Notamacropus eugenii: one gene and its partner. The protein of the gene in region 2 purifies or fractionates together with the protein of the main gene of each other region. This does not show direct contact. Links are inferred from orthologs where the notes say so. Each region holds a gene or a part of one and is shown on either strand. Other genes may lie near its edges.

Region 1 (3,745 bases), on a different chromosome or scaffold from region 2:
AGACACTTACTACTGTGTGACAATGGGCAAGTTGCTCAGCCTCAGTTTCCTCATCTGTAAAATGGAGATTAATAATAGCACCTACCTTCCAGGATTGCTGCAAGGATCAAATAAGGTAATATACAGAAAATGGGTACAGAACTTAAAGTGTTCTGTGTTCAGTCTTATACCTCAGCCATTCTCTACTTTTCCCTCTCTCCCCAAATTTAATCAGCTGCAGGTCTACCTGATTTTAACTCCTCTCCACTCCCAAGTGAGTCAACGTAAGCGAAGTGCTACATAAATGCTTTTATCATCATTGAGTTCACACCCTGGTACTTCTCACCTGGGCTATTTCAATAGCTCTCTGTCTGGCCTCCAATCCAGTGCATCCTCATAGGACTGTCAAAATAAGCCTCCTAAAGCACAAGTCTCTGCTCAAGAATCTCAGAGCCCTTATGGCCTCCAGGACAAAATACAAATGCCTCAGCTTGGCATTCAAAGACTTTCACAACTTAGCAGCCGCCGCCTTCCAAAGCCATTCTTGGGAGCTCTGCGTGGGGAGCACTGGCCTAAAGGCTACTCCTCAAATTTGGCCTGGCCTCTTCACTTCCATGCCTTTGCCTAAGCTGTAGCTCCCCACTCCCCCCAAGTTTTCACTGTCTCATCTCCACTGTCTATAATACCTGCCTTCCCTCAAGGATCACCTCACATGCCATCTCCTAAGAGAAGCAGTCTCTGATATTCCTGTGAATTGTGCCCACTCTCTCCTCTTCCAATGTTCATACCTATGCTGGTCTACATGGTGAGTCTCTCCAAAAACACATGAGCATCTTCAAAGTAAAGCCTTCTGCTTTGTCTCGCTTAACAGTGAGCCTGCCCACTGAACAAAAGCTCCCTGGCCTGGCAAGTCTTGGGCTGTCTCTCATCCAGGGCTCAGGCAAGGAAGGGGCTTTGCTCTCAAGCATTTATTAAGTTCTGGTTGTGGTGCAGGAGAGTGAACACTGAATTTGGAGCCTGTGTGGCCCTGGATAAATCATTTAACCTCTCTAGTTCTCAAGTTTTCTCATGTGTAAAATGATAGGGTTACACTGAACAAGCCCCAAGGTCGACTCCTGCTCTACAGCTAATCTCATGAATCAAATGCTATTAGATACCCTGGAGGTGACCAAAAAAACCCCCACAAAACTCAGTCCCTAAGAGTCCTTATGCCAGGCTCAGAAAAAACAAAGACAAGCTGAGACGGCTCCTGCCCTTCAGGAGTCTACACAATAGAGTGGAGGAAAGCAAGAGAACATAGAACCAGTTTTAAAACTGGACATGACTTTATAGATCACTTAGATCCCCTTTTTATAGGGAGAAACTGAGGCCGAGGGAATGTCCCCACCTAAAGTCACCTGGAATGTGAGAAACAGCGTGCATGTGTGAAAGTAAGTGCAAAGCAGCTGCTGGGGAATGGGGGAGGGCTCACAGCTTGGGTCCATCGGCCCACTGTGTTTACTAGGCACCTGCTATGAGGAGGTGCCCTGTTCAGGGCTCTGAAGGGAGCACTAATGCAAGGAAACCAGCCCACTCGCCAGGAACTTTAGTTCAGAAAGGCCCCCTAAGGAGATAAGGGGCAGTCTGAGGGGAGCCCAGGCTCCATGCAGGAGGCAGAGGTGAGGAAGGAACACATCCCCGGGCTGGCCAGAGCCAGCAAGGCCTTAATGCGCTTTTCATTCATTTATTTAAAGCACAGGGAACACGAGGGGCAGTCAGGGAGGCAGGAGGTGGCCCACGGCTCACAGCAGGTGCACCAAATGTCTGGTAAAGGGCAAAGGCCACAATCCAACTTGGGGCACCAGGCTGGGCCGTTCACCTGGAGGAGTTTGGGGCTGGCGAAGGCCAGGAGTCTGTACTAGATCCGGGGCCCCAGGGGCCACCAGGACTACTTGAAGAGGGGACTGTGCCTGGGCGGGGGGAGGTCTGGGAGAGATGAGCCAGGACAGGGGGTCTGGGGAGGGGGGCACAGGAGGGAGAGGGGGCGCTGGGGGGGGGCTCCTGCAGGGGGGGGCCGAGTTGGAGGGAAGGGTTCTACAGGAAAGTTAGGGGTACTGGGGAGGGGCTCGGGTGGGGGAGGGGGCACTGGGGAAAGGACTCAGGAGGGAGAGGGGGCGCTGGGGGGGGGCTCCTGCAGGGGGGGGCCGAGTTGGAGGGAAGGGTTCTACAGGAAAGTTAGGGGTACTGGGGAGGGGCTCGGGTGGGGGAGGGGGCACTGGGGAAAGGACTCAGGAGGGAGAGGGGGCGCTGGGGGGGGGGGGGCTCCTGCAGGGGGGGGCCGAGTTGGAGGGAAGGGTTCTACAGGAAAGTTAGGGGTACTGGGGAGGGGCTCGGGTGGGGGAGGGGGCACTGGGGAAAGGACTCAGGAGGGAGAGGGGGCGCTGGGGGGGGGGCTCCTGCAGGGGGGGGCCGAGTTGGAGGGAAGGGTTCTACAGGAAAGTTAGGGGTCCTGGGGAGGGGCTCGGGTGGGGGCCCGCGGAGGAGGGGAGGGGGGCGTACGTACCTGAGGACGGCCCGGGACTCGGGCTGACGCCCGCACAGGCCGCTGGGGCTCCCGCGGGGCAGACGGAAGCAGGACCCGGACGCCCACCGGACGGGGGCGGAACACTGCGGGAAACAAAGCCCGCCGCCTCGCCCAGCGACAGCGCGGACCAAACGAGAGCCGGCGAGACTTCCGCTTCCGGCGGCCAGAGAGCCCGAGCCACGCCCACCAAATACCATAGAGAAACAGGCGGGAGGAGCGGCGCGCGCCGGGGCTCTCTGCTGCCCCCTAGTGGCCCCTCTCTGCTTAGTCTGGCTCCCGACAGTGGTTGGGAGCAGCGCGATCTAGCGGACACAGAGTCAAAGCCCACCTCGGCCCCCTGTGGTGCTGTGTGAGGAGCGAGTCACAACTTCAGTTAAGCAGAGCAGATCCGGTCAGCATGGGTGGAAATAAGAGGTCCAGGCAATGGTGATATATAACATTTATTCATCAACCGCAGATAGAGAAGGTACTTGTAGTTGGAGCTGCGCCTTGAAAGAAAATAGGGATTCTGAGAGGTGGAAGGTATTTTGTCTCACTTCCATCCCTGAGAATCCCTGATTTCCGGCAAGGCATTCTTCAAGCCATTTTTATTAGATAGCCTATGATTTCAATGGTGAAGGATCAAAGCCTTGTCTGCACCTTAAGAGTCTTAAAGGCTTCTCATTTCTAAGTCTTAAGAGATTGGATGGGATTCTGAGAAGTTAGTGAACCCCACTCATTTGACAGATAAGGAACCCAAGACCCTCAGGGATCAAGTGACCTGATTAGAGCTACAGAGATAGGAAGTGATATAACTGGGTTTTAAACTCAGGCACTTTGATGTCAAATCCAGCACTCTTCAATTTTACTTTTATTAGTAATAATAAGCATTTCCATAAACATATTAAAAACACAAAATAGGATTGGTATGTGAAATCATGAGTCTCCATTACATACACTTAAAGACATACACTTTCAAAATTGGTCTCCTCAACTGTATTTCCTTCTGTTCTTTTTCATATATTTTCAAAAAAATGTTCAGTGGTCATCTTTGTTGGCTCCTGCTCATTTCTTCTATCTTGGGACCACTGGAGATATGGTTGGCCAATGTTTCCTTGGAGTTCTTAGGTCTTTCCCTATCATTTTTCAGTGTGATGTTATCTGTGTATACTTTGTTTTGTTTAATTCACAACACATTGGCTCTTACTTCCTAAAAACATTTTT
Region 2 (3,745 bases):
CTCCAGGACCTTGAGGTGGGCCGCCAGGAGCCACCCAAGTCAGTCCACTTCACCAAGCGGGCCCCACCCATCCCTTCCTGAGCCACACTCCTGGGCAGTGCCCATCCCCAGGGCTGTGATGCCCCTGGTCTTACCCTCCTTGTGCCAAGGCTCCACGGCCCGCACAGCTTCCCTGCCCCCAGCCCCCAGCCCCAGCTCAGACTCAACCCCAAACCCTGAGCCGTCTCTCCATCCCTTCAGTGGCTCTGGGGCTCTTCTGGAGGCCTGTCCACTTGTGGGCATGCTTTTAAAGGATCACAAATTTGGGGACTTGCGTCAGCCCCCAAGCCTTCTGGGTGTGGCAGTCCCGTCAGACCGTCAGACCCTCGAGGGCAAGGCGTGGAGCATACAGCAAGGGCTTCATAAATGCTTAAGGAAACACAGTCCAGGCCGTGGGGGCACCCGAGGTGCCCGAGCCTCCGGCCACTTAGGACTAAAGGACTGTCTCCAGAAGGCCCCAGTGGAGGTGGGGGGAGGAGGCCCTGGGGGGAGGAGGCCCTGCGAGGCGGAGGAGGCCGAGGGGCCGCGGCAGATGCCGAATGCCCCCAGGCCGCCCCGCCCTCCCTCCCTCCGCTTACTCCGGAGGGAGACAGGCGCAGGCGCCGGAGCCGGGAAGCCGTAACTATGACAACGGCTCCGCCCCCGAAGCGGGCGGGGGCGGGGGCGTCCTCTGGGACGCTCTAGGCCGGGCGGGCCGCATCTCGATGGTACGTCGGCGGCGCTCTGGGCGGCCCGCTGCCTCTCGCTGGTGCGCGTGCGTACGTACGGCGGCGCCCTGGGCGGCGCGCACGCGCTCTCGCTGGCACGCCAGGAGGGCGGGCGGACGGAGGCGGCGGCGGGGCCATGGCGGCCGTGCGCGGCCTGCGGGTGTCGGTGAAGGCCGAGGCGGCGGCAGCGGCGGCGGCGGGGCCCCACCTGGGGCTGCTGGGGCCGGGCCCCGAGCGGGGCGAGCCCGAGCCCATGGAGGTGGAGGAGGGCGAGCTGGAGGCCGTGCCAGTGCGGCGCTCGCTGCTGCCGGTAGGACGCCGGGGGTCCGGCCTCCGGGTGGGTGCGCCCCTCAGAGCCTGCCGCCGGGCGCGCCGGGGCCGTTGGGCGGCAGGGAGCGAGGGCCGGGGTCGGGGTCCCCCTCACCGCCCGTCTCGTTCTAGGACACGAGCCGCCGCTACGAGAACAAGGCGGGGAGCTTCATCACGGGCATCGACGTCACCTCCAAGGTAGGGAGGAGCCCTGGAGCCGGCTCACCTGGCTGGGGCTCCCGGGCGGAGACTTTGTTGCTTTTGCCCCCTCCCACAATGCACCTCTTTCTGTTGGGGATGGGGAGCCCAGCCGGAGTCTGTCTACACCCGCTTACGTTGGAGCGGCCAAGGGCTGGGGAAGGCTTCCTGGAGGAGGCCGGGCGGGCGGCGGGGAGGGGGGCGAGGAGGAGGAGAAGGCAGAGCTTTCCAGGCAAAGGTTCGGAGGCGGGAGATGGAGGGGGTGCCACAACGGGCACTCGAGTTCCCATTCTGCCCCACTGGCCAGCTGGGGGACCAGGTCAGTCAGGTACCTGCCTCTACCTTGATATCTCCTCCTGAAAGACAGATCAGGTGAGGAAGCTTAAGGAAGCACGTGCCCAGGTCCTGGCACACAGTAGGTGCTTAATCAGTGCTTGTTCCCTTCCCCCCCCCCCCCCCCCCCGCGGGGTTTGGAAAGGGGAGGGGCTTCCCCACCCTCCTGGCCCCAAGGGTTCTCCTTCCTCGGGGCTCTCCCCGCCTGTAAAGCAGCCCCCATGGGTGAGCCCAGGCTGGTGCCGATGGTCCCTGGCCTGAGAGAACTGGGCTCCCCCCTTGCCCTCTCCCCTCCTCCCCCTCTTCCCTCCCCCTCTTCCCCTTCTCCCTTCCCCCTCCCTCCTTTCCCTCTCCCCTCCTCCCTTGCCCTCTCCCCTCCCTCTCCTTCCTCCCCCTCCCCCTCCCCTTTCCCCTTCCCCTTCCCCTCCCTCCCTCCTCCCCCTCTCCCCCTGCCCCCTTGCCCTCTCCCCCTCCCCTCTTCCCTTCCTCTTCCTCCAGCTCTGCTGGCCTGCCTTGGCCTCAGTGTCATGGGGCCTGTGCACCTGATGCTGTGACATTCAGAACCTACCTCACCTTTTCCTCTGTCAGTCACTTACTAGTGTCCGGCTGGGGCTTGGCATGGGATAAGTAATCGGTAGGTGGGTGTCCAGGTCTTGCCTTTTGCTCAGGACCAAGTCCTGGGCTCTTTGACTGTCCTCTGATAACTCAGGCCACCTAGGCCCCTGCTCCCTGAAAGCTCTGCCCCCTCCCCCACCAGCCTGTGGGGACTCCTGTCCTCCTCACTGACCCAGGAGGCGACATGGCCCACTGTCCAGACCCGAGCATCCAGGGGCCTGGCCTCCTGCACTTGGGAGTGGAGAGGAGGGAGTTTCCGAATAGCGTGGGAGATGAGGTCAAGGGTCAGACTTCATGCTCCCTGCCTGGCCCACCACCAGAGGGGCAGGGAGGCTGAGGCCGGGGGGCTCCGAGTCTCAGCCTCCGCCTTGGCCTCGACCCATCTCATTCTCTGGGGTTCCTCGTGCTCTTTAGGAAGCTATCCAGAAGAAAGAGCAGCGAGCCAAGCGCTTTCACTTCCGAGCCGAAGTCAACCTTGCCCAAAGGAATGTGGCCTTGGACCGAGACATGATGAAGAAAGGTAGGAGACCCCCCACCCCCACCCCCAGCCGAGAGCTGCAGTGAAACTCAAAGGCGTCCTGACGTTGAACCAACCACACTACTGAGGGAAATGAAGCTGGTTTCTGTCTGTCTTGAGGAGGGTAACCTCCAGGCACTGTCACCAATGGAAGGGACCCAGGAAGGCCTAAACTACTTATCTGAAAGTCTGCACTCATCCCTCATTCCCCAGCTGGGAGGGTGTGAAAATTGGGGCTGTGGCGTGAACCCCTGGGTTCCTGCCAGGGTTCCCTGCGATGACAGCGCTAGGTCTCCCTCTTCTTAAGACTCCAGAAACCAGTGACTCCAAATGCCTCCCCTGTGTAGATCTAGACCGTACTGGGTAATCCCTCCATGTGGGTCTTCTTGGAGGTGCAGATCCTTCCCAGCCCACCCAGACCTTCCTTCCAGGTGCTCATGGAACATGTTGGGGGATGGGCTCCTTTGGATCTCCTGATCTCCTTGAGCCACACATAGATCCCTACATATTTCCCTCTTATTGAACAAGTCTGACAGGCTTCTCCTTACCTAACTTCCCATGGTTCTGACCTCACTTGAGCCAAAAGATGAGCCTCAAGGTCACTGATCTAGAGGGATGTGTGAGGAGCCTGCTGATGCCCTCAGGAGACTGGGGACCACATCCAAGGCTTGAGCCCCAGCAACCCAGACCTGGGCTGCCCCCTTCAGATCTAGGCTTTGATTTTCTCCCCTACCTGCTCCAGGTAAAATAAGATGGGGGCCTGTCACCAACATGCCTGGCCCTCTCACCCCCCAACCAAGCTAGTACTAAGGCCTGTCCAATTCACCACCTCTTGTCCATTTTACCTCTGCGCCTTTTCTTGTCCATTCCCCCCCACCCCCCACCATCTCTTGTCCATTTTACCCCCTGCACCATCTTTTGTCCGTTTTACCTGCTGTACCATCTCTTGTTCATTTCACCTCTTCAGCATCTCTTGATTAAGCCCCTTCCCTTATCACCTCATGCCTGAACTATTACAGTAGGTACT

What was found. The genes of interacting proteins can lie anywhere in the genome.
Region 1: the proteins of NCBP3 (region 2) and THOC5 purify together in Homo sapiens (co-immunoprecipitation; 3 studies listed by BioGRID and IntAct, with this or other methods). This does not show direct contact. The link is inferred for Notamacropus eugenii from reciprocal best matches to the Homo sapiens genes NCBP3 and THOC5.

What each region holds. Positions count from the first base shown.
Region 1 is NC_092875.1:16,146,993-16,150,737, reverse strand, and holds the start of THOC5 (THO complex subunit 5), read right to left. Parts: upstream 2,726-3,745; 5' UTR 2,522-2,725; intron 1-2,521. UniProt on the Homo sapiens protein: Component of the THO subcomplex of the TREX complex which is thought to couple mRNA transcription, processing and nuclear export, and which specifically associates with spliced mRNA and not with unspliced pre-mRNA.
Region 2 is NC_092877.1:388,342,011-388,345,755, reverse strand, and holds the start of NCBP3 (nuclear cap-binding protein subunit 3), read left to right. Parts: upstream 1-867; 5' UTR 868-882; coding exon 883-1,083; intron 1,084-1,187; coding exon 1,188-1,253; intron 1,254-2,615; coding exon 2,616-2,721; intron 2,722-3,745. UniProt on the Homo sapiens protein: Associates with NCBP1/CBP80 to form an alternative cap-binding complex (CBC) which plays a key role in mRNA export. NCBP3 serves as adapter protein linking the capped RNAs (m7GpppG-capped RNA) to NCBP1/CBP80.